3 linked regions of the Schizosaccharomyces pombe genome follow. The protein of the gene in region 1 interacts with the protein of each later gene in a biochemical or structural test. Each region holds a gene or a part of one and is shown on either strand. Other genes may lie near its edges.

Evidence for each region.
Region 2: the proteins of chp1 (region 1) and tas3 are reported together in a solved structure, tested with the Schizosaccharomyces pombe proteins (one study listed by BioGRID).
Region 3: the proteins of chp1 (region 1) and hht3 interact in a test that uses a peptide from one of them, tested with the Schizosaccharomyces pombe proteins (3 studies listed by BioGRID, with this or other methods).

What each region holds. Positions count from the first base shown.
Region 1 is NC_003424.3:2,210,515-2,218,863, reverse strand, and holds chp1 (heterochromatin (HP1) family chromodomain protein Chp1), read left to right. Parts: upstream 1-4,518; 5' UTR 4,519-5,004; coding exon 5,005-7,887; 3' UTR 7,888-8,054; downstream 8,055-8,349. Other genes in the region: serine hydroxymethyltransferase Shm2, read left to right, coding at 65-148, 295-1,677; Rab11 family GTPase Ypt3, read right to left, coding at 2,107-2,243, 2,298-2,378, 2,623-3,049; aim18 (chalcone related protein), read left to right, coding at 8,189-8,349. UniProt on the Schizosaccharomyces pombe protein: Component of the kinetochore which plays a role in stabilizing microtubules and so allowing accurate chromosome segregation. Has a role in the RNA interference (RNAi) pathway which is important for heterochromatin formation and accurate chromosome segregation.
Region 2 is NC_003423.3:1,514,580-1,520,611, reverse strand, and holds the start of tas3 (RITS complex subunit 3), read left to right. Parts: upstream 1-4,432; 5' UTR 4,433-4,483; coding exon 4,484-6,032. Other genes in the region: rtc6 (mitochondrial 54S ribosomal protein bL36m), read left to right, coding at 122-400; RNA-binding protein Yme2, read right to left, coding at 623-2,944; anaphase-promoting complex platform subcomplex scaffold subunit Apc15, read right to left, coding at 3,408-3,710, 3,778-3,885. UniProt on the Schizosaccharomyces pombe protein: Has a role in the RNA interference (RNAi) pathway which is important for heterochromatin formation and accurate chromosome segregation.
Region 3 is NC_003423.3:3,526,410-3,534,424, reverse strand, and holds hht3 (histone H3 h3.3), read left to right. Parts: upstream 1-4,859; 5' UTR 4,860-4,895; coding exon 4,896-5,306; 3' UTR 5,307-5,625; downstream 5,626-8,015. Other genes in the region: DNA-binding transcription factor Rsv2, read right to left, coding at 1-1,494; SPOM_SPBC1105.13C (uncharacterized protein), read left to right, coding at 2,237-2,665; hhf3 (histone H4 h4.3), read right to left, coding at 4,347-4,658; RAVE complex subunit Rav1, read right to left, coding at 5,744-8,015. UniProt on the Schizosaccharomyces pombe protein: Core component of nucleosome. Nucleosomes wrap and compact DNA into chromatin, limiting DNA accessibility to the cellular machineries which require DNA as a template.

The sequences.
Region 1 (8,349 bases):
CAAGTTCTACTTAAATTTTATCAACTTTATCTTTCAGTTTTAGGACACCTTACCTATCACCACAATGGCAGTTCTTCGTCAATTCGTCAAGAACTCTTACTCTTCAATTCCCAAGCGCTTTTATGCGCTTTCTGCTAATCAAAAAAAGGTAAAGAAGTTTATTTAAACGCGCTTTTTTGGAGCAAGCAATGACTGTATTTTCTATCTGTGCTGTTTGCTACTATCAACAGGCGATAGATTGACTTGCTCAAATGATTTATGAAGTGTTCTAATAAAGTTCTAACGATAATTAAGTTACTCAAAGCACCATTGGCAGAATGTGATCCGACAGTGTATAAGATTTTGGAATCTGAGAAAAGCCGTCAGAAAGAGTCGATAGCTTTAATTGCTAGCGAAAACTTTACTTCAAGAGCTGTGATGGATGCACTCGGAAGTATTATGCAAAACAAATATAGTGAAGGCTATCCTGGTGCAAGATATTATGGTGGTAATGAATTTATAGATCAAGCTGAAAGACTATGTCAAACGAGAGCTTTAGAAGCTTTTCATTTGGATGGGGAAAAATGGGGAGTAAATGTACAACCCCATTCTGGGTCTCCGGCCAACTTACAGGCTTATCAAGCAGTAATGAAGCCACACGATCGCCTAATGGGTTTAGATTTACCCCATGGCGGTCATTTATCTCATGGTTTCTCTACTCCCCAGAAAGCTATTTCAGCTGTCTCGACTTATTTTTCCACCATGCCATATAACGTAAATAAGGAAACTGGTATTATTGACTATGATAGTTTGGAAAAGGCTGCGATACAATTTCGTCCTAAAGTTATAGTTGCAGGCGCTAGTGCTTATGCACGACTCGTTGATTACAAGCGTATGCGTAAAATTACGGAAATGTGCAATGCCTATTTGCTTTGTGATATGGCTCACATATCCGGTTTAGTAGCTGCCGGTGTAATTCCTTCTCCGTTTGAATACGCCGATATTGTTACTACGACGACTCATAAGTCTTTACGTGGACCGAGAGGAGCTATGATATTTTATCGAAAAGGTACTCGTTCTCACGATAAACGTGGTAATCCAATTTTATATGAATTAGAGGATAAAATCAATTTCTCAGTTTTTCCTGGACATCAAGGCGGCCCCCATAATCATACAATTACTGCGTTAGCTGTCGCCCTTGGACAAGCAAAAACTCCTGAATTCTATCAATACCAAAAGGACGTTCTAAGTAACGCCAAGGCAATGGCCAATGCATTTATTACTCGTGGCTATAAGTTAGTTTCAGGTGGCACGGATACTCACTTGGTTCTTGTTGATTTGACCGACAAAGGTGTAGATGGTGCCCGTGTCGAACGTATTTTAGAGCTTGTAAATATTTCTGCCAACAAGAATACTGTGCCCGGAGATAAGTCTGCTTTAATTCCACGTGGATTACGTCTGGGAACTCCAGCTTGCACTACTCGCGGTTTTGATGAGAAGGATTTTGAGAGAGTGGTAGAGCTAATTGATGAAGTTGTATCTTTGACCAAGAAAATAAATGAAGCTGCTTTGAAGGAAGGAAAATCGAAGTTTAGAGACTTCAAAGCATATGTGGGTGATGGTTCTAAATTCTCTGAAATCGCCAAACTGAAGAAAGAAGTTATAACTTGGGCTGGAAAATTTGATTTCCCCGTTTAAGCTGTCTCTAACTTTTTGGCTCTTATCTCATACTTATCATCTGTTACTTTCTCTTATAAAGGATATATCATGGAAATTAAACATGAGCTGTATGAATAATGAAAATATCTGGACAAATTCTCTATTAAAGTAACCCTACAAATATCATATAATAAACAGAGGTAATAATGTGTTACACTTATATGCTGCATAGGAATGGGGATAAAATTATGCTGAAGCGTGTATAAAGAAGGACGGTAAATCCATAGTAGACAATATTAGCATTAGGCAAAATATCTACCCCTTTATTAAAGGATACAGCCCTAATAAATGGTTGACTAACCTGCTAAAGATTTCATAATCATAAGGCACCTTAAATGTTATAAAGGGGTGGAGTTTTTAAATGAAGAGAAACGAGGTAAAATAATGGTACGAATCCGTGATAACCATCTAACAACATTGGGAAGAAGACTTCTTCTTATTAAGATCATTCATGGTAGGGGCGATATTAAGCGTTTGACCAGCTGTAGGATGAACACCGTCGTCTCCAGCCTCGAGTGATCTGTTGGAGACAATTCGGAAAATTTCTACGCTAGATTAGTAAAACTTGAAGAAATCAAAGCAAGTACGAATAAACATACCAGTCAAAACTGTTTGGAAAGCTTCTTCAACATTGCTAGCATCCATGGCGGAGGTTTCAATAAAAGATAAGTTATTTTCAGCTGTAAAAACATTAGTTAATTATGTTCAAAAAATTATGACGAATCAGAGGCAAACAAATGTGCTTAATAAACAGAGAATGGAATCGACAAGGTGAATAATATTTCAAAACAAAAAGAGATCTTCTACGCTTCAAGCAGTTCAAAATTGCTAAAAACGATGAACGGAATAAAGTGAGAGCGGCTAAAGCCGGTTTCACTACTTCCCGTCCGAACAACTCCATATCTCACCAACAAAATTACTTACCAGCAAATGCCTGGGCTTCTTCAGTAGATACAGCTCTTAAATGTAGTAAATCCGTTTTATTACCAACAAGCATGATAACGATGTTGCTGTCTGCATGCTCACGAAGCTCCTTTAACCAGCGGCCCACATTATCGAATGAAGATTGTTTTGTGATATCGTAAACAATCAGAGCACCAACAGCACCACGGTAATAAGCTGAGGTAATGGCCCGATAACGTTCCTGACCGGCAGTATCCCAGATCTGTGCTTTAATTTTTTTGTTGTCAAGAACAATATTTCTAGTAGCAAATTCAACACCAATAGTACTCTTGCTTTCGATATTAAATTCATTCCTAGTGAAACGCATAAGTAGGTTTGACTTTCCAACACCACTATCCCCAATCAGCACAGTCTTGAACAAATAATCGTATTCGTCCTCTTGACACATGGCTAAGTTCTCTATCGGTAAATCTACGAACAATTTTTGTTAACAAATATTTAAGGTCAAATAATATCAAGGTATATACCTGTAAATTACAATGAACCCTGCTTTCGATAGTCGAAGAATTTACTTAGTCGTAGTTTGTTGTAGGTAAGTTGCAGAGGGATATCAGAAAACCTAAGGAAGTAATAATCCTTTATCATGGTAACAAAAAAAAGTCCACTAGTGCCACTGGCCGTTAAAATGCATATAACGCATTCCAATGATTCATTAAATAATTATACTGCGTTACAAAGAATGTCGTAATCATGAGAAGGCTGGTGTCGTTTAGTGATTGCTATCATCAAAATCATTATGCTGTTGTTCACTATAAAGCGCTATTTTGTAAACATTTTAAAATGCCTTTGATATAAAGAAGCGCAAGTACTCAATTGAATGCAAGTACTATCAATTATATGAATGACCGATTGAACCCAATCGCAAAACTGGATATGGACGGGTTGGTATGGGTTTTTACAGTGCGATTAGTCAGTACTATACCCATTTTAGTCCTGCATCAAACAATGATGTAGAAATTCTTTGAAAGCAATGTTTTGATTTCCAAGTTACAAAGTTATCTAGCCAAAGAAAGAATATTTTAAGTTCCGGTTTTTTCAGCAGCTTTTTCTCACTTTTATAATGGTCACAATGATCGAAATTAAAAATTTGAAAGAATAAAATTGGCGGCTCAATTGAAATCTTTTTCTTTATGCAAAAGTTATACAATGTTGGATGCTGCTCATGGCATGCAGGCATCCTTCATGCAGAAAGTTACTTGAGTAATCCATCGAATAATTATCGTTGGCAAATCTTGGGTTAACAAGAAACAAAAAAATCCTGCACATAAACAGTTTTTCTTATTAAGTTCATTTCATGGAAAACGAATAACATAGTTCCGTAATAATATAAGTAAATGGATCCCTTGGTTAACCTCTATATAAAATTAATGCAAGCAATTATCAAAAGAGGTCGTGTGGTTTAGATGGTTATAATTTCTGCTTAACATGCTAGTTCGCAGACGGTCCCAAGTTCGAGTCTTGGCACGATCATTTTTTTCTATCGTAGTAATTATTTACTTTTCTTATTGTACTACCAGTTTTGGAATGATATGTTGTGTTGAATTCGTTTATATAGAGTTAACACATTTAGAGGTATTATGTATAAACGCATCGTTTAATAAATTGCAGCGCTCAAAATCTACTCATTGTAGCTTTTTGAAAACAAAATTCATTATTTGTTTAAAGTTTTTCTAACTTACACAACCACCCAGAAAATAAAATTAGAAGTTCAGGAGGAATGAGAAAATTTTAAACATTTATCAATTTACCAACAAAGTTTTTTGACTACTAGTACCTCATGTATGCAACTAGTAACACTAGTGGTTAGTGAGTATTTTCTCAAAGTACATATGTCTCCATAGGTGTCTTCAAATCTGCAACCTCAACCTCACACACTTGATTAATGCAATAAAACTCCAAACCCAATCGAAAACTTATTTTTTTGTATATTTAACGGTTTGCGTTGGTGACACGACGGTAAAATCACGCGGATTTTGTTTGATTCCAAAATTCGAGTGCATAAGCCATCTTGCTTATTGCAGCGAGACTTCGAAATTCTAACATCTAAAAGCTTCATTACTGGAATTATCTGTTGTTATTCTTGTGTTCCATTGGTAAAAAAATCACAAGCAAAAGGGAAATATTTGAGCCATTTTAGAGGTTATACTCTGCCCTTCATGCAACTATAAAAGTAGTTGAAAGGGAAGAACTTTGGCTAATAGTTTTGTCAAGGAATCTATTCAATCTTGCTTAATTCCGTTTTTTTTTTAAATTCATATCTTTATCCTTTTATATATTTTTTTGTTGTAATACTTCAATCTCTCTTAGCGACACGTAGGTGAGCAAAAAACCCGCTACCTTGAAATGGTATCTGTTAAACCACTTCCTGATATTGACTCGAATGAAGGTGAGACAGACGCGGATGTTTATGAGGTGGAAGATATCCTTGCTGACCGCGTAAATAAAAATGGCATAAACGAATATTATATAAAATGGGCTGGCTATGATTGGTATGATAATACTTGGGAACCTGAACAAAATTTATTCGGTGCGGAAAAAGTGCTTAAAAAATGGAAAAAACGGAAAAAGTTAATTGCTAAAGGCTTGCTTGAACCTTTCGATGCGGAAGATAATGAGGCAAAGAAAATGAAGAGAGAAAAGGAGATATTGAGGCAACAAAGACAAAAGCGCAAATCCGAGCTTACCCAATTATCTCAAAAAGTCAAAGAAAAATTCAAAAAGATGCGTAAGAAGCCTGCCCGAAGGATTGTAACCATCGCAAATGATGAAGAGGAAGAGGACGATCAGACAATGGATGAGGATGCGTTTGAGAGAAAAAGTATGCAAGGGGAATTGAAGGAGAGGAATTTGACCGATAAAACTAGCACGCTATCCACATCGTTTGGTGAAACTAGCCCTGATGTTAATCCTTTCTACTTATCAGAGTGGCCTACAGTTACCGACAGTATTTTATTGTCCAAAAGCCTCTCCAGCGATGCAATACCTTTGAAAAATGGCGAAATTAAAAGCACAATGTTGATGCCCAGTGACTCTGACAACTCAGTTCCCGGAATTCAAAATTCGAACAATCTTGAAAATACTGGCGCTTTTGTTGAAAATGCGAATTCACCACAATCTAACACCCCCTTGTCAACCTTTAGGCATTCAAGCCCTTTAAGTCTGTCGCCAGTAATAACTTCCGATAATGATGTTGCCAATTCATTATTTTTTAGCAATTCGACTCCTCTTCCTTCCTCTTTGAAGATAAAAAAGGAAGCACCGAAATTAGAAACGCATACGATATTAGTTAGTGATAATTCTGGTTCTTTAACGAAGCAAGATATTTTATCGTACTTTGCTTTTATCAAAGGAAATATTGAGGTCTTTTTTCTCAAATCACCAAAGAAAGACAAAGTTTGTAATATGGCCTACATTCAATTCGATTCTATCGAACAAGCCAAACTTGCGTATGATAAAGGGCATCCAAGTTGGCATGTAACTTTAGTAAAAGGGAAGATATCAACTGATATGGAAGAATGTAAAGTCTCAAAGTCTATTTTAAAAACAACCCCTTCAAAGAAAGCAAATGCAAGGTCCGTTTCTTTTACACAAACAACAACAGATACCCTTTCTGAGTCGGAAAAATTTGCTAGCAATGTCGATCTGGACGAAAATTTCGATTTCAACGTAAACGTGACGAATGAAGATGCTAAGCAGCTTAAGAAAAGTGTTATCGGAAGTAGTTGGACTACTGTTAATAACGACTGGAACAGTGTTTCTAAAAGCGATCAAACTTTTGAAAATGATGGAGCTAGCAAAGTAGTTCCGGCTGGTAATATTACTTTAAATTCGGATAACTCTCTTCACCATTCGATAAGCGAATCCGAAGATCTTTCTTCAGCAAGCACATTGTCTGATTATTTTAGATTCGTTTTGCGAGTCGGAAAATCTCTCTACTATGCTGGAGAATTGTCATTTGATATATCCAAGCTTAAGGCGGAAACTGAACATCAACAGTTGTTACGAAGTTTAGTCAGTTGCAAGCAAGTAGATGTTTTACGTTTTGTTACTTCACAATATCTCGAGGTATTTGGTACTTGCTTGACTAAAGTTCTTTCCGGAAGTCTTTGTATTCGAAGCGATGTTGATATGACTCACTTTAAAAATATACTAAACCGCGGCAACGGTGCTGGCATCGTTCTGGGTAGTAACTATACATTATTATTATTTACAGAGGATAATAATGCTTTAATGAATTTATACGATTGTCAAGGCCAAAGCAATAGCCCTTTTTGGATGGTGATTTTTGAACCTTTAGAATCAATCCTAGTCGAATGGTCGGCAAAAAATCTAAGGCCTAAAAAGCCATATCATAAATCCCAATCTTACTTGTCTTATTTACTACAATTAGGCCACATCGATTTACATAAAATAGGCGCTTTTCAAGCTACACAAATTTTAATTGTCTCTAAACAGCCTTCTCCGGAGGCAGAAGAATTGGAGGATACTTTTAGAGAAGCTGCTATTCCGACATTTCGAGGACTCGAGATTCCGGAATCTTTGTTTTTATCACAGAATGTTTTTGTTTTCCTGAATGTCTCACTAGAGGATGATTTTGATCAACTGCAATTTTTAACACTGGCGAAAAGGAAAAGTTGTAAATTTTTCTTATTTGGTTTGTCACTCCCTCTCAAAAGTCCTAATGATTCACACGTGGGTACGGACTTTAAGAAAAACAATGAACCCCTTGATAAGTTGACATATTCACAGTACTTAAGACCGATGTTTCCTAAGGGTGGGGTGGTATCTGTTACACTCTCAGCACTTATAAAAACACCACGGCTTTTGGAACTCATTAGTCCATTTCTTGAGATTAAAAAAGATTCATGGATTTTAATTCTACCCCCATCAATTGTGGATATGGTCAAGAGCTATTTTGTAACAAACAATCCAGACAAAAGTCTCTTGGAAATTCAAAACTTATTGAATACACTCCAGCGCTACCTGACCAACCCAGCGCTGAAGAACGTGACTTTGTATCAGGATTGGGATATTGTGATCGATGATAGCGCTGATGTATCTTTAGCCAGCACTCTACAATTGTACCAGAAAAAAAATTATGATAAATATAGAAGGTTCGTATTGATTCACGAGCTTAAAAATGAATTGACGCCAGTTAATGGCCTTGACATTGTTGACTATGATGAGTTCAAAGAGACTTTTATGAGAGCTATTGGTTTAAAATAGTCGTTTTATTTATTTTGGGATACGGCGGACAATGGGATATATAGACTGACATTTTTTCTTATTACGAATGGATAGGAATACTTAAAATTAAACTCAAAGACTTATACTAGAAAATAACAGTCTACTCTTTAGAAATTAGACGATTAATTAATTAATTAATTTTTTCACTATATAATAACCGTATGTTTCAACATTGTTAGTTGTTTTTGCGCACCTCCTTAAAATCTAGGATCTCTTGGAAAAACATGTGATCCAATACCAACCGGCTAATATCTGTGTGTGTGTATTTAAACTAAACAACATGTTTGGTACTCGTTTTTTTGCTTATCAATTTTGCAAGAATTGGTTATCGAAACGACCAGGATTGGTCTTTTGGAGCTCAGTAGCAACAATAAATGCCATGTATCAAACTCGCCCTCTATACTGTGAGAGTGTCACCAAGACAATTCAACAAACATACGA
Region 2 (6,032 bases), on another chromosome or scaffold:
AGTCCAAATTGTGAACACTTTTCCATCGTACATCATTTATTTAGCTCAGAATTACTTCGGATCCAAAAAAATTTAAACATCTTGACTTGAAGTCCCAGTTTCACTTTTTTTTTAACTTATAATGGCTTCATTAGGTCGTAAATTTTTTGCTGTGGGTGTTTTGTCACGAGTCTTCCCTTCTGCTTTTAATGCACAAAAAGGGTTGTTAAAAAATGCATCTATGTTCTTAACCCCTGCTTTCAGACTTTCTCCTAGCCTTCTACCTTGGAACTTTTCAAGAGGTTTCAAAGTGAAAGCATCAGTAAAAAAGCGTTGTTCATCCTGCTATTTTGTGCGTCGCAAAGGTAGGTTGTATGTACTATGCAAAAAACATCCGAGACATAAAACCCGTCAAGGTTAATGACTATAACCGGTTTCGCTTCTTCTTTTTTTTTCTACCTAGGCTAATTCTTCATTACGCTCACTTCATATTACGACGATTTTTGGACTACCTACCAAATCCTTACTCCCTTCTCTCTCGTTAATGCGTAGTCATTAAATGTGATATTATTGTTGACATTATAGCTTCATGCTAAAGAATTCATAAAAACATACGTAATCTTAAATGATATGCTTTCGCATCTTAGTCGATTTTTTTCAAAGCCTCAGTAAGCCTTTCTATACTTTTCTCATTATCAGTAATAACACCTTGATTTTTCTGGATACGCGTCGTTAAGTAATGAGCACGATCCTTCACACCTGATTCAAGGTTCCCAAGGTCCTTTAGCATTTGTAGCTCCTGTTCATCATTCTTGATAGCATTGTTAGCCATGCCAATTAACGCGTTACATCTCACCAACTGCATATTAGCACTTAATACTGGATCATTTACAAGTTGCCGGAAAGCCGTAACATATACAGGTTTTCCAGCGTAGACTTTATCCGGTCTTGCATTCACTGTGGTAATAGTAATCAATTCTGATTCTTCCAAGGCACGAACGGCATCGTCGTGTCCTTTGAACAGTGGGTCAAGCATCAACATATGATAGGGTATATATTCATGTTGAGATAAATAAGTAATTAAGGTCCATGACTCTTCTGGAGTGAACGTTGGCTTCTCCTCACTGGTTAAAGAAGCAGGCCGTAAAAATGTTTGCAAAATATCAGAGGCATTTTGACTTACAATACCGCCAATTGCTTCAGAAACACTGGAAGAATTAACCCGCAACCTACGAGCTACATAATCAAGATCACGAAGTCGGCCACCAATCTTCGGTAATTGGACCCGCAATTCTTTCCTCAATTCTTCTGTTTGCATCTCTTCGGGTAAAGACTCTATGACATATCGCTGAGCAAGTACAGGGTCAGCATCTCCTAATAACAATGTTCTATTTTCCCAACCGTTGACATATTGCTCTAATGACTTGGTGCCTCCAACATCGGGTGTTAGCATTAGTACATGAGCAATTCCTTCCTTTACCAAATTACCAGCCCATTCAGCAACCACTCTCTGCATCGGGTTTGATAATTTACGAAGCTGGAAATTGTCGAGAATAACAACAGGTAAGCGATCTGCATGAACTTCTAAAAACTCAGATTCATCCAACACACTAGTATCGGCTTCTTTATGCTCTCGTAATGCTAGAGAACGCAATACCGTTTGTGTTGTGTTAAGAATTTGCCGCACTTGTCCTTCACTAGAAGAAACAATTCCCGTTTTTTGTCCTATGAGACCTTGTGCAGCCATATCGATAAGTGACGATATGTTGTTTAGGAAGCTAAAGAGGGGGAAATACCCCGTTTGGCTAGCAAGAGTACTTACGAACATTTCCGTATTAGTAGTGGAGAATAAGCGATCACAGTCGAAAAACAAAACATTTTTTCGTTCTTTAACAACTCGATCTACCAGATCACGCTTACCACTACCACGAGGACCTTGAACAACAATAAAAGAATGTAATGCTTCATCCAACCATTCTTTCAACTGTTCACAATCCTTTTCACGTGTTGTCCAAATCGGTGCCTTTATATTTGTACCATTTTCGTGAAAGGGACTCAAAACTATATCGCGAGTTTTCTTTTTGACCCACCCAACAACATTGATATTTCTCAACTTCTGACCATGTACAATGTTTGTCTCGACAAAGAACTTTCTTATCGGATCGAATAAAGAAGCCGTTAAAACTGTAATAGCCGCCGCAACCAAAGGAATAGTAAAACGAGGATGAGAGAATAACCAGTCTTTGAAGGCGACAAAGCGGTTCATATGTCTGTATCGCATGTGGAATTCTGTTTTCCCATAAACAAAACCATGCATACAGTTTAAAGCTGACGTAGCGGACCTTAGCGATGAAAAACTCAAAGTAGCAGAAGTAGGTGAATTAATGGTCACGGATCTTAGTTTTCCATATGTCCTAAAAATACTATACAATCTTTCCTGGGAAAGGGGCGGACCTTCGAAATTCACATCTACTGTACGAGATGGAAATATATATAAATCTTGAAGCCAAGGAATACCATGTACCATGTGTGGAATCGGGGTAGAGAAAGGGTGTAAAATTGTTCGAACTGGACGCTTTCGAAATGATTCACGGACGTGTTCTGAAACCGCTTCTGTATCTTGTGGGAATTCCTTGTAACGTACTTTTAAAAATGCTCCTCCATCTTGCCATCTGAATATGATATCTTCCAACTGCATTGTATCAGAGCTTGGAAAAGCAGCACTTAGCTGCTTTTTCAAGTTGTTCTGAAAGAGCAACGCAGTGTATCGCTGAATGTAGAAATAGGTTGGAGTATTGACGAGATTATCCACGAAGAAAAGACCTTCATTTGGATCTAGCTTGATATGACCAATATTATGTGCCACTAAAGAATGAGCATAGCGACGTGGAAACATAAACGGTCGTGCATGACCCAAAAATGAAGTATTTCGTAACCCCGTGAACCGAGATAGAAACAAATTCATAGTTTCGGGTAGGCTTTAAATTAGTTTCAACGATGTCTAAGAAATACACAACGGTTTGTTGCACTCCAATATGAATATTCAAACACCAAAAACGAACAGCCAAGAAAATGATTATTTAAGTTATACGGTTAACAGTAAGTCAGGATTCCAAATGGGATCTGTCAATGATGTAAAAGGCTAGTGGTTTAAGAACATTGCTTAAAAATGCTAAATAAAATTAGCATTGTAAATTTAGACATCGTTAAATAAATTCAAAACAGTAGAATCAAATGGGTCATTTGAATCATAAAGAGTTGATAGCCTTTTAGCATGCATAGGTTGTGTATCCAGTTATTATCTTCAAGTTCTTTTTTCGTAAACAATTATGGGAATAAATTCGATTGTACATACATTTTTCAATCGGGTAATGCAGCAGCATAGCTTTAGCAATCATGGTTGATTCGATATTATTATTTTTAAAGCCTTAATTTTGAAATCCGTATTCACTTATATCTTCGTAAAATTCAGAGGCGTCAGCATTTGTGATATCAGCATCCAAGTCGACTTCTTCAATATCGTGATCTTCTACTTCTTCATTATCACCATCCATATCGTCCATTTCGCCTTCTTCAGGAAAGCTCCCACTTCCCAATTCTTCTTCATCCAACTCAGTGTCTTGATTAGCCTCTTCGCGCTCTTGCTCTTCCAAATCAAGCTGCTCTTGCATAGACCTATTTAATCCAATGGGCCGAATAGTGCGAAATCCAAACTGTTTAATTGCAAGCTCCTAAGATTCGTTCAAGTTAGACTTTTCTCATGCACAGAAACTCGTTGAAAATCGTAAACAAACATACCTGAGTCTCCAGTCTAACTTCTTCCTTTTCCAATTCTTTCATAGAAGGAAAAGACGTAGGATACCATAGTTGATGGGCTGTATTAGCCATCAACGACATAAACGACATGATTTTATGCTGCAAATAAATATTGGTATTCAAGAATCAGCTGGTGTATTGTAAGACTAAAGGCGTTACTATGGTGACTGGGTTATTTACTAACCCAGTTCTGTACAATAAACAAAAAATGTAAACACAAAGCAATGCTGAGAAGCCACAAAATTAACTTTCGTGTTAATTTTTGGTTCACGTATTAATTAACAAAAGCTGTTGAACTTATTTCTCCTCTTATTTTTGACTGATTTGAAATGTTTATTGCAACGCTTGAACAAGATTATTAACTAAGAGTATCAAAATGCTTATTTTCCTTTAATGAAGAGGTCAAGGGATAAGAAATACTTATGTTCCGTAACGTTTCATGTTCAAGTTTCAGCATTTAAGTAATTGAAACTGGCTACTCTTTTCAATTTCACGTAGGTGTACTTTAAATTGGGTTTTTTAGGATTCAATTATTTGCAAATACAAAATTTCAGAAAAAAGATACCTGTATGTATCTCGATTAATATCCTTACTATCTAATGTTACACATACTCATCAAACTTCTTAACTTACTCCTAACCACTATAATTTAATGAGAGCTTTTGATCCTATTTGAGCTACGATTTTAATGGAGAAAGGAATCAAAAAATATCTTCCAAGTTTACCGTTTTTAGCTTGTATTTCAGACTTTCCCGAAAATCATGGAACATCTCGGCGATCAGCAACTGTTTCGCTAGAGCGAGTTCACGAATTATTCACTGAACATTGGCTTTCTAATCTAAAAAATAGGAGAGAAAAAAGGCAGGAACTAGCTGAAGAAGCAGTTTACTGCCGCTCTGAAATGCTATCGCAGAGGAAATTGCTGGCTGCTGTTGACTTCCCACAGCAACTTAAGAACAGTCCTGCTAAAGCAAAGGCAACCCATACTTCCTCTGGAGTCACAAAGGAGGTAAGAGCTTCAAAAAAATACACATCATCTAATGTTGAGTTTCCACTCGTTACGGATGGAAAGGAGAAGCCAGTGAAGTCGAAACAACTAAGAAAGAACTCCGTTACTGAATTTGAAAAACCTATAGAAACGAAAAAAAGCAAACATCGGAAAAGCAGAAACAAGTTTTTAGATAAAAGCTCAGGAAGCATGGAGATTGAATCGTGGGACAACTCTACTTCTGATTCAATAATAGAGTCATCTTCTAGACTGCATGAAAGCATTTCACTTCGTGAAAATGATATTCGCAGTTCTGACTCTAAGTCTGTTGGCTGGGATGATAATTCTACTGGATTTCGTGAATCTTCTAAGTCTCTTGATCATACCGATACGTCGATGTTTATGGAGCTTGATTCGAATAGCGATCCACAATTTCGTCCGAAGTATCAAGCAAAATCCTCTTGGTTTGCCCCCGATGATCCTGAAGCTTCATGGGGAAACCTGGATGATGGTTGGGGCGAAACTAATGGTTCTTGGAGCTCTACAGATGATACAAAACATTACAAAAACGAATGGGCGGAGAGTATAAATCTTGACAATTTCAATAGGCCTTCACAACAAGAGGATTACGACAAACCGAAAAACACTCAGGTTTCAAGATCATCGAATCATCATCGACGATATGATTCTTACCATCCAGATAGTCGTTCAGATTCATATAGGTCCAAACGAGAACATTACGATAATAGAGATACAGGGCCTCGAAGTAAGCATTTGGAGAAATCTTCGTATGTATACAACCAAAATTTTGAAGATCGCACTCATTTATCAGACCATGGAGCCCATTTTCATTTAGGGAATGCCAATGATTTTAATATGCAAGGTTCGTCGCGTAAAAGAAAAGCCTCTGATCGTCAACGTGAATCCAGAGAAAATGAGCTACCAACTAAAAAGCTTAACGCTTCTGATTCACATAACCCGCTAGCTTCCTTAACTACTGATAAAAATGATCTCTACATTAATTGGTTAAAATCTTTGTCATTTTTTCAAACCAATAGTTCTTGCGCTGAAGCTTTAGTAAAAGTCATTCCCCATTATCATAATAAATTGATCGATTTTTCTCAAGTCTTACAGTTGGTATTTTCCGCTTCCGAAAAGTTTCCAATTCAAGAGAACCAACCTTTGCCTGAGCAGCTTATGTTTTTGAGCAACCTCGAAAAACAAACACCATTTGCGAAAGCGGTAGGAT
Region 3 (8,015 bases), on another chromosome or scaffold:
AGCAGCCGATTGAGAGTGAGGAGCGTTGGAACTGTCTAACTCTGAAGTCGGTAATAAGTTAGGTATATTAGCAGAGGTTTTAACAGGAGAAGTGAGTGGAGGAGAGGAGCTGATCGTAGTATTTGAAGGTACGACAACAGGAGGCTGTGAAGGAGAAAGTGAATGTGGATTTACCGACGTACCAAGCACCAAGGAGGGGCGATGCTTGGCATTGTATGATCGCGTTATCGGAGGAGACAAAGAAGGGATGCGTTGTTTAATAGATTCTTTATTGAAGCTGTCCTGCCGAACATCGGAGTGCATGTTATCATTGACCATAGATACATCCTTCCCATCATATATCTGAGCGGAGTTTTCTTGAGGAAGAAGAGAGTCAGCAGCAGCTCCCAGAGCATGAGAACGGCGTAACGCAGTGCTCGTCGCCGAGTCCTTCATAGGATGCGCCCGCACTTCCGGATTTTGTTCCATACGGGATTGAAGTCCCGTTGGAGATACAAGGGAGGAATCCTTGTTGTCGGTATAAAGGTTCTTAGAGGAATCAAAATTTTGGGTCTTGAGAGGATTGTTAAGGGTAGAGGGATTTGCTTGGTGTTGAGGTGAGACATCTTTTGAGACTCTGTCTGACTTTTGATTGTGACCCAGTGACCTTTTTAAGTCACTTCCATTCTCCAAATAATCGGTTGAAAAAGGACCACTAGGAAGAGAGGCGTCCTTTACAAGTTGTTCGGAGACAGAGTCACTTGCATCCATGGATATCGAGGGCAACGGTTCCATATCCAAAGGTGGAGAATTCATGGGAAATGGATTACCGTTGATGTCGGAAATCGCGCCAGTGCCATCAGCAATCACCTGACTAGGTAAATCGAAAGAGTTGGAGAAGGGCTGGTCATTAATGGTGGAAGCAGATGGAGTAAGAGGAGGAGGGACGGACATGCTTGCAGATGCGTTACTCCCAGCATTTCCACTGGGGGAACTGTTAGCAGTAATAATGTGATTCGTTTGAGCCGAGGTAGGTTCGTTCGACCCGTTGACAGGAGGTGTGGTGATAAATTGATGATTGCTGCCAAGGGACGAAGGGACACTTGGAAAGTTAGCAGCGTTACCATAGTCAGATGCTAAGGGATCAAATGGCATGTCCATCGAGGAATCGGGAATAGTGTCGAGGGAGAAGGGGTCCATTGTGTCAGCATCGTTGTAGACACGAATGGGAACGTTCATCATATAGTCCCAGGAGGACATATCAGATAAATCTGAGTTATTTTCTTCTAACGTAGTAGGGTTAAAACGCTTTAAATTGAGTTCGGGCATCGAGATTTGCTCGAATTCAGCATCCGAGAATGCATTCGGAAATACATTAGTCACAGAGCGACCATTCATTTTGGATTTACGATTTTGTTGCAATTGGGATCCATTAAATTGCCAATCTGGAGTGGGAAAGTTATCGTTCCCATTACTAGAAATTGATCTTGCATATGTGTTGTTTGTAGTGTCCATACTACCCAGCAAAGATGCGCGAGGCAATGTATATATAAAGAATGACGTCAAGCGTCTGATTGAAAAAACCACCCTTGTCAAACAACATTGGTTAGCAATTGACGTCGTTTTACATTGATTGAGCCAATCAGAGGCCGCCAATGAAGTAGCATGGAAATGTCAGAATGCGCTGGCAGTGCTGCTGATTCGTTCTTTTCAAATAAAAGCGCGTAATGTGTAAGCGAACCCCAATTACATTCCTTCAATCTGCGACTTGCGCTCTACGCTGTCCTCTCATATGGAAAGCGAGCTTCCAGTACTTAAATCACCTTATATATCGCGGTTAGTCATAACGCACTAATGAAGGAATACGCTGCAAGCTTCATTCCAAAAGCAATCATAGAATGAGGTCAAAATGAAGAGGCGGAGTCGGGGAAAGATGAGATTGAAGGATGAATCAAGTCCACGATACTTTTAGGTCATATCACGACGTTGATTTGCATCTTACTCTAGTTACTCGTACTTTAGAGATGCGATGGAATTGAGGATGTTTGGTACAACAAATGTCTTGTTTTTCGTTTGCGCCGTGTCACGCTACTCCTAAGATAGCAGCTAAATGAAAAGTCTAAAAACGCTAAAAAAATTTCCTCCCTACATGTTCAAGTCAATCAAGTGCTTCATGTTCCCGATCACCATATCGGCATCGCAATGCAGACCTCGATTGCTTACTTAAACTCGGTAATCTCGTCTTCCGTTACCCTACATGATCACGGAATTCATCAAGTCGTTTTTACTTTTTTTTTTCCTTCCCTTCTTTCTTTCGATGCCGATGATCTTCGCTACTCTGGGGGAGTTTACCGACGATCAAACTCATCATTATTCCACGCTTCCGTCGTGTGACCTTCTCCTTATTCGTGGAGAAGTTAAAGAAAATGCCAGATGCTTCTTGCATAACCCAAAAATTAGTCATCAGCATCATTCTTTCTGGTCCTTAATAGAAGGATGTTTGGAGGCGCTGCAATTTGGCTTACTAGCAATTCTTCAGGGATTATTTTCTCAGTTTGCATGGGAAGCCTGCTCTTGTACCTTTGCATGCATGCTTCTTACTAGCGAACGTACTGAACCGTCTTATCCGTTTTCCGAGATTACAGAGGTCAGTCGTGGTGGGTTGCACTTCGTTAAGTTGAATTAAGTATGCTTAACTCAGGTGAAGTCAATTTGTCGATGTCGATGAGATTGGCTAGTACACGAAGGGGATGCGGAGCTGCTAAGCAGAGGAGTGATTTAACTATGAAACCAATTCGTAGGATAAAGTATACTTTACCGATCGATATGGATGATGCAGATGTAGGAATCAATTATTCTACTTTCTTGTGAAAAGCATAACCCATGTGTATTATTTTCAAACAAGTCAAACAGATGGATAGCCAACACGCATATGACTGCTTACTCAAGTACAAATGACTTTTAGAGCATACCAATTTCAACAGACTTTTATCACTAGTGCAACTATCTTTTTATCAGTTGTAGTCTTTCAAACATCAATAATCACTGGCATTCACACACGGCAATACCAATCATTATGTTATTACGAGAACAACTCGTGAACAAATGGATTCCAGTGTGTTCTAGCATACACATAAATGTCTCGTCTTTCTACTTTATTATTTAGTCGATGAGTGGAACAATTAATAAACTTACCATTCAATATTGCACTGACAAACGTATACTTTTTTATATTTCTCTTTCTTTTCGTAGGCTTTACGTACTTACTCTTCCTTATTTTCCTCTGCAACGAAAAAGAGGATTGGATTATGGGCTTCGTCAAACGTTACAATTACAGAGTAACCTTGTAATAAGATGAAGTAAAATATAAAGTAAACGACGTGTAGTGATAAAAAATCTGTATTTTTGTCAAAGTGAACTTAATTGTTCAACGCGTTCTGATGTCATATGCCCAAAAATAATTCACCTACCCAAGGTAATTGAAAAATTTGTCAATACAAAACGAATGCTTTATAAACACAAAAGAAAACATGTCAGATTAGAGAAAGAGTCGTACGCTCTCATTGCTGAAAGCTTTTTATCCTTAACACTTTACTGGAATTTGTTAGTCCCGTTGACTATGTGGTTGTTAGATACAGATTAGGTAAATTCATTTATTGTGGTATTAAGCAAGGAGCGGAAGAAAGTACGTACTTTTTTACATTGTTAAAAGTTTTATTTGACGAAATTACAACACTTAATAAGTATCTAAGTATGCGATCGAGCTGATTCAATTTGATATCTCTCAATTAGAAAGTTGCGTATTACCTCACAACTACGATGTACCGTACAATTCACAATCTTCCTGGCTATGCAACTGTTTGCTATCAACTAGTCGCTTAGATAACCTTCTTTAACCCCATTCACTAGACACACTTTCCCCATACCCAGAAAGATGACACGAAGAACAGTGTAACGCATCAACTAGGTTAATTTGCTTAAGGTCGCACAAACAATTACCTAAAGAAAAACTTGCGCGTTTACTATATTTGTACTACTTATAAATATCACGATACGATTCGGGTTTAATGAACATTATATTAATCATTTCATTCAATAAATGTATTAATCACAAATCCACGAAGAAAAATTCATCTTCTTGTCAGATGGAGTATTCAGCCGTGATACAACGCGATATGAAAAATTTCTCACAAAGACCAAACGCCTTTTTGTCTATGAATTGCACTAGCAAATTGATAATGCTTCTTCTGATATCGCCCAGATGAAAAACATTCTCGTTTGGCATGTATATATAGAATAGTTATAGTGTACACATAAAATTGATAGACTCGAAACAAAAAATTCGGAGTCGGCAATTGATATCGAATTTAACCACCGAAACCATAAATGGTACGGCCTTGACGCTTCAAAGAGTAGACAACATCCAAAGATGTAACAGTCTTACGCTTGGCATGCTCAGTATAGGTGACAGCATCACGAATAACATTTTCCAAGAAGAGCTTGAGGACAGCACGAGTCTCTTCGTAAACTAAAGCGGAAATACGCTTAACACCACCACGACGAGCAAGACGACGAATGGCAGGCTTAGTAATACCTTGAATATTGTCACGAAGGATCTTACGGTGACGCTTGGCACCACCCTTTCCTAAACCTTTTCCACCTTTACCACGGCCAGACATATTGCACTATTAATATTAACGAAATAGAGTTACTACTATAAACAGTGCTTCTATTGCTAGTAGGGTATGCGGCATTTCACAATATATATTAATGCGCCGTCCCTATTAACTTACGTCAATTTAATTAAAGGGTTAGGGTTGTGATCAAAGTTGGATGTAGGGACATATTTATACAGCGTAATCTCCCTATAATTTGTTTTTATCTACACAGGGCAATTATCAGAACACTAGAAAATAATGGCTCGTACTAAGCAAACTGCACGTAAATCAACTGGTGGTAAGGCTCCTCGTAAGCAACTTGCCTCTAAGGCTGCCCGTAAGGCTGCTCCCGCTACTGGTGGTGTTAAGAAGCCTCATCGTTATCGTCCCGGTACAGTCGCTCTTCGTGAAATTCGTCGTTATCAAAAGTCTACTGAACTTTTGATTCGTAAGCTACCTTTCCAACGCTTGGTCCGTGAAATCGCCCAAGATTTCAAGACTGACTTGCGTTTCCAGTCTTCTGCCATTGGTGCTCTCCAAGAAGCTGTTGAGGCCTATCTTGTCTCTCTATTTGAAGACACTAACTTGTGTGCTATTCACGGAAAGCGTGTAACTATTCAACCCAAGGATATGCAATTGGCTCGTCGTCTTCGCGGTGAACGCTCATAAGCAACTTTACCAAATTGTGGTTGCCATCTGATGGTGTGATTTGGAATCTTTTGGTCGTCTATCCCATTGTAATCCTTCCCTCATTTACTTTGCCTTTCGAAACAAAATTTAACCTTGAGTGTTGTGGAATGTAACAAACGATATGCAAGTCTAATTTTTTGTTTCCGTGAGCTGCACTATCTATTTATATTTTTGTTTTCTTTTTTCGAGTTATACCGCGGACGTTTTTATTTTCGAAATGTATAGAAATTTTTAATTCTCTCTTTACGTCCTGCGCAATTGTGTAAATGAAACGCTGAGGAACTTCATCTGTATTCTTATATGCTATTTAATAGTAAATTAATTTTTAATATCATTATTGAAACACGATAAACTAAGGGTTGACCGTATTTGATTTTTTGTAGTATTTTTAAAAACTCGTATCGATAATTAATTAATTACTCGAAGCTGAACGCAGATTCATTAAATTCGGGGACATCGTCCGGTGTTGGCCGGATATCTTGTCCCATAAGAGTTTTTCCAAGTTTGGGGGAGTCGTGAGTTTTTTCCACTGCAGACTGCTTGTCAGTTACCATATAATCCTCAGTTTCAAGATGAGCAGTTGCAGGATTTTTTTGGAATTTCCAATTACGCAAAAGCCCAAGTGCTATTAGGTCACATCCTAATTGGCAATACACATTAGCATTATGCAAAACAAATCGATATTCAAGACTTTCATCAATTTGCACGTTGCTGGATCTTAAACATTCATATAACAAAATGAAGGCAGGATCATCAGACGGAAACTTATTTCGTACGGGTTCGTTAGTACTATTTCGTTGTGAATCTTTATTTTCGTGAATTTCTTGGTCGTTTTTATCGGATGTATAAAGTTGTATAAAGTCATTATCGCTGACCAGCGAGCGAATGGGAGATACCAAACTTTGCAAGGCCTTTTTTTCCTGTTTTAAAATAGTGAAACTCCAATTGGTGAGCCATCTATCGTTTTGAGATACAGCCAAAGGAAGTACATACTCGTTTATTAGCCTCTTTAAGGTCGGACCATCGTCGCCTTCATAGACTCGAGTCATTGCGATGGCTAATGAAATGCTTTTTAAATTACGGATACATACTTTTGCGGCATCATAGCAACTATCTGCCAAAAGAAAAAATGCAGAAGCATAAAAATATCTGTGCTTGCTTAAAAGTGCAAAAGCATTCTTGGATGCAACCACTTTCCACTTCTTTTTTGAAAAGTCATTCGAAAGCAACTTAACCGTTCGAGCTGATTCCTTATGCCAACTAGCAAGACGCCAAAGATCACGAAATACATTTATTTTGTGTAGAGCAATGTGATATAAACTAACATTCTCTGGGTTCCTATCGTCAATCTCAGCGTAATGATTGCGAGACAGCTCTAAAAATACATCTTTCAGTAGCTGCTCATTTAGCCAAAACGGTATCGCATATTCTTCAACAGCATTCCATAACAATGGTTTTCCATGAAGCTTTTTAGTGTGGTCCAACAGAACAGCTTTGTTAGAGCTATGAAAAGCCCACGCCATCTCTCGGGTGGGCAAGCTTGTTAATTGACGTTGATGTTTTGATAAAACGTACTGGTTTAGCATAATGCAATATCTTTTTCCGTTGAGGTCCAATGAATCTCGCAATGCTCTTGCCTTATTGAATGCCTCGATTAAATTAAGAAGTAAAAACTGAGATGATCGAGTGAGGGTTTTGACTTTCTTTACTTTTAATAATGCAGTCAACTTCTTTATCATTTCATCAATGTATAATCCTAAATGCTTTGAGACACTGGTCTCTTCAAAATCCAATTCCGCAGGATTTAGAATTTCCGCAGAATTTTGGCTGAGACTTTTTATTAAAAGGTCTTTAGAAATTTCTTCGTCACAGCAGTAAAACTCACTGCAGTCCATATTTAAGAGAAAATGCATATCTACATCATCTTTCAAACACAAGTAAAACCTTAGCAAAATATTAGTAAATAGAAAGGGTTGGTTTCTAAGTAAAAGCTGCTGCAACAATTGAGGATGAAAAACTGGTAAAATTCCATTAAGCTGGTATGCAAGATCAAAAATATTTTTTGCGGAACGTTTCAATGATGCAGGGAACAGTAAAGACTGATCTTCGGGAAGTGAATTATCAAAATAAAAAAGTCCGTTACCAATGGCAGTAACTAAAGTCCCATTATCCAACCAAGAAGAGTCAGATATTAATGAATTTGTATATTCTAAAAGATTGTATCTACGAATACGAGACCAACATGGAATATCGTTCATATAAGATCGGCGATTTTGGCACAAAAGAATAACATCATGTAGAAAGCCAACAGCCAAGATAGAATGGGAATTGGGAGTAGAAGTCCAATCCAAGTCATTTATTGGTCCATAATCATCAAAAACAGAGGAAAATTCTTCCTTTTCAGAGAATTCTGAACTACGCGTGTCGAAAATTGAAAGTCGACGATTGTTCTCAGATACAACAGCAACTTTCTTGGATGTTGAGCCTTTGATCATAGTTGCAGATTTGATGCTAGTTTGCACTTTGGAAATTTCCGATATTTCCGCTTTATCGTCTCCCAATACTCTTGCCATCCAAGTCTGTAATAAACCGTCTTTTGATATTGATTGAAATACCTCTTGATCAAATGAAGATAAACTGCTCAAATTTAAAGTAGAAGACCAACCCATGACATCTACAGCCGATGCG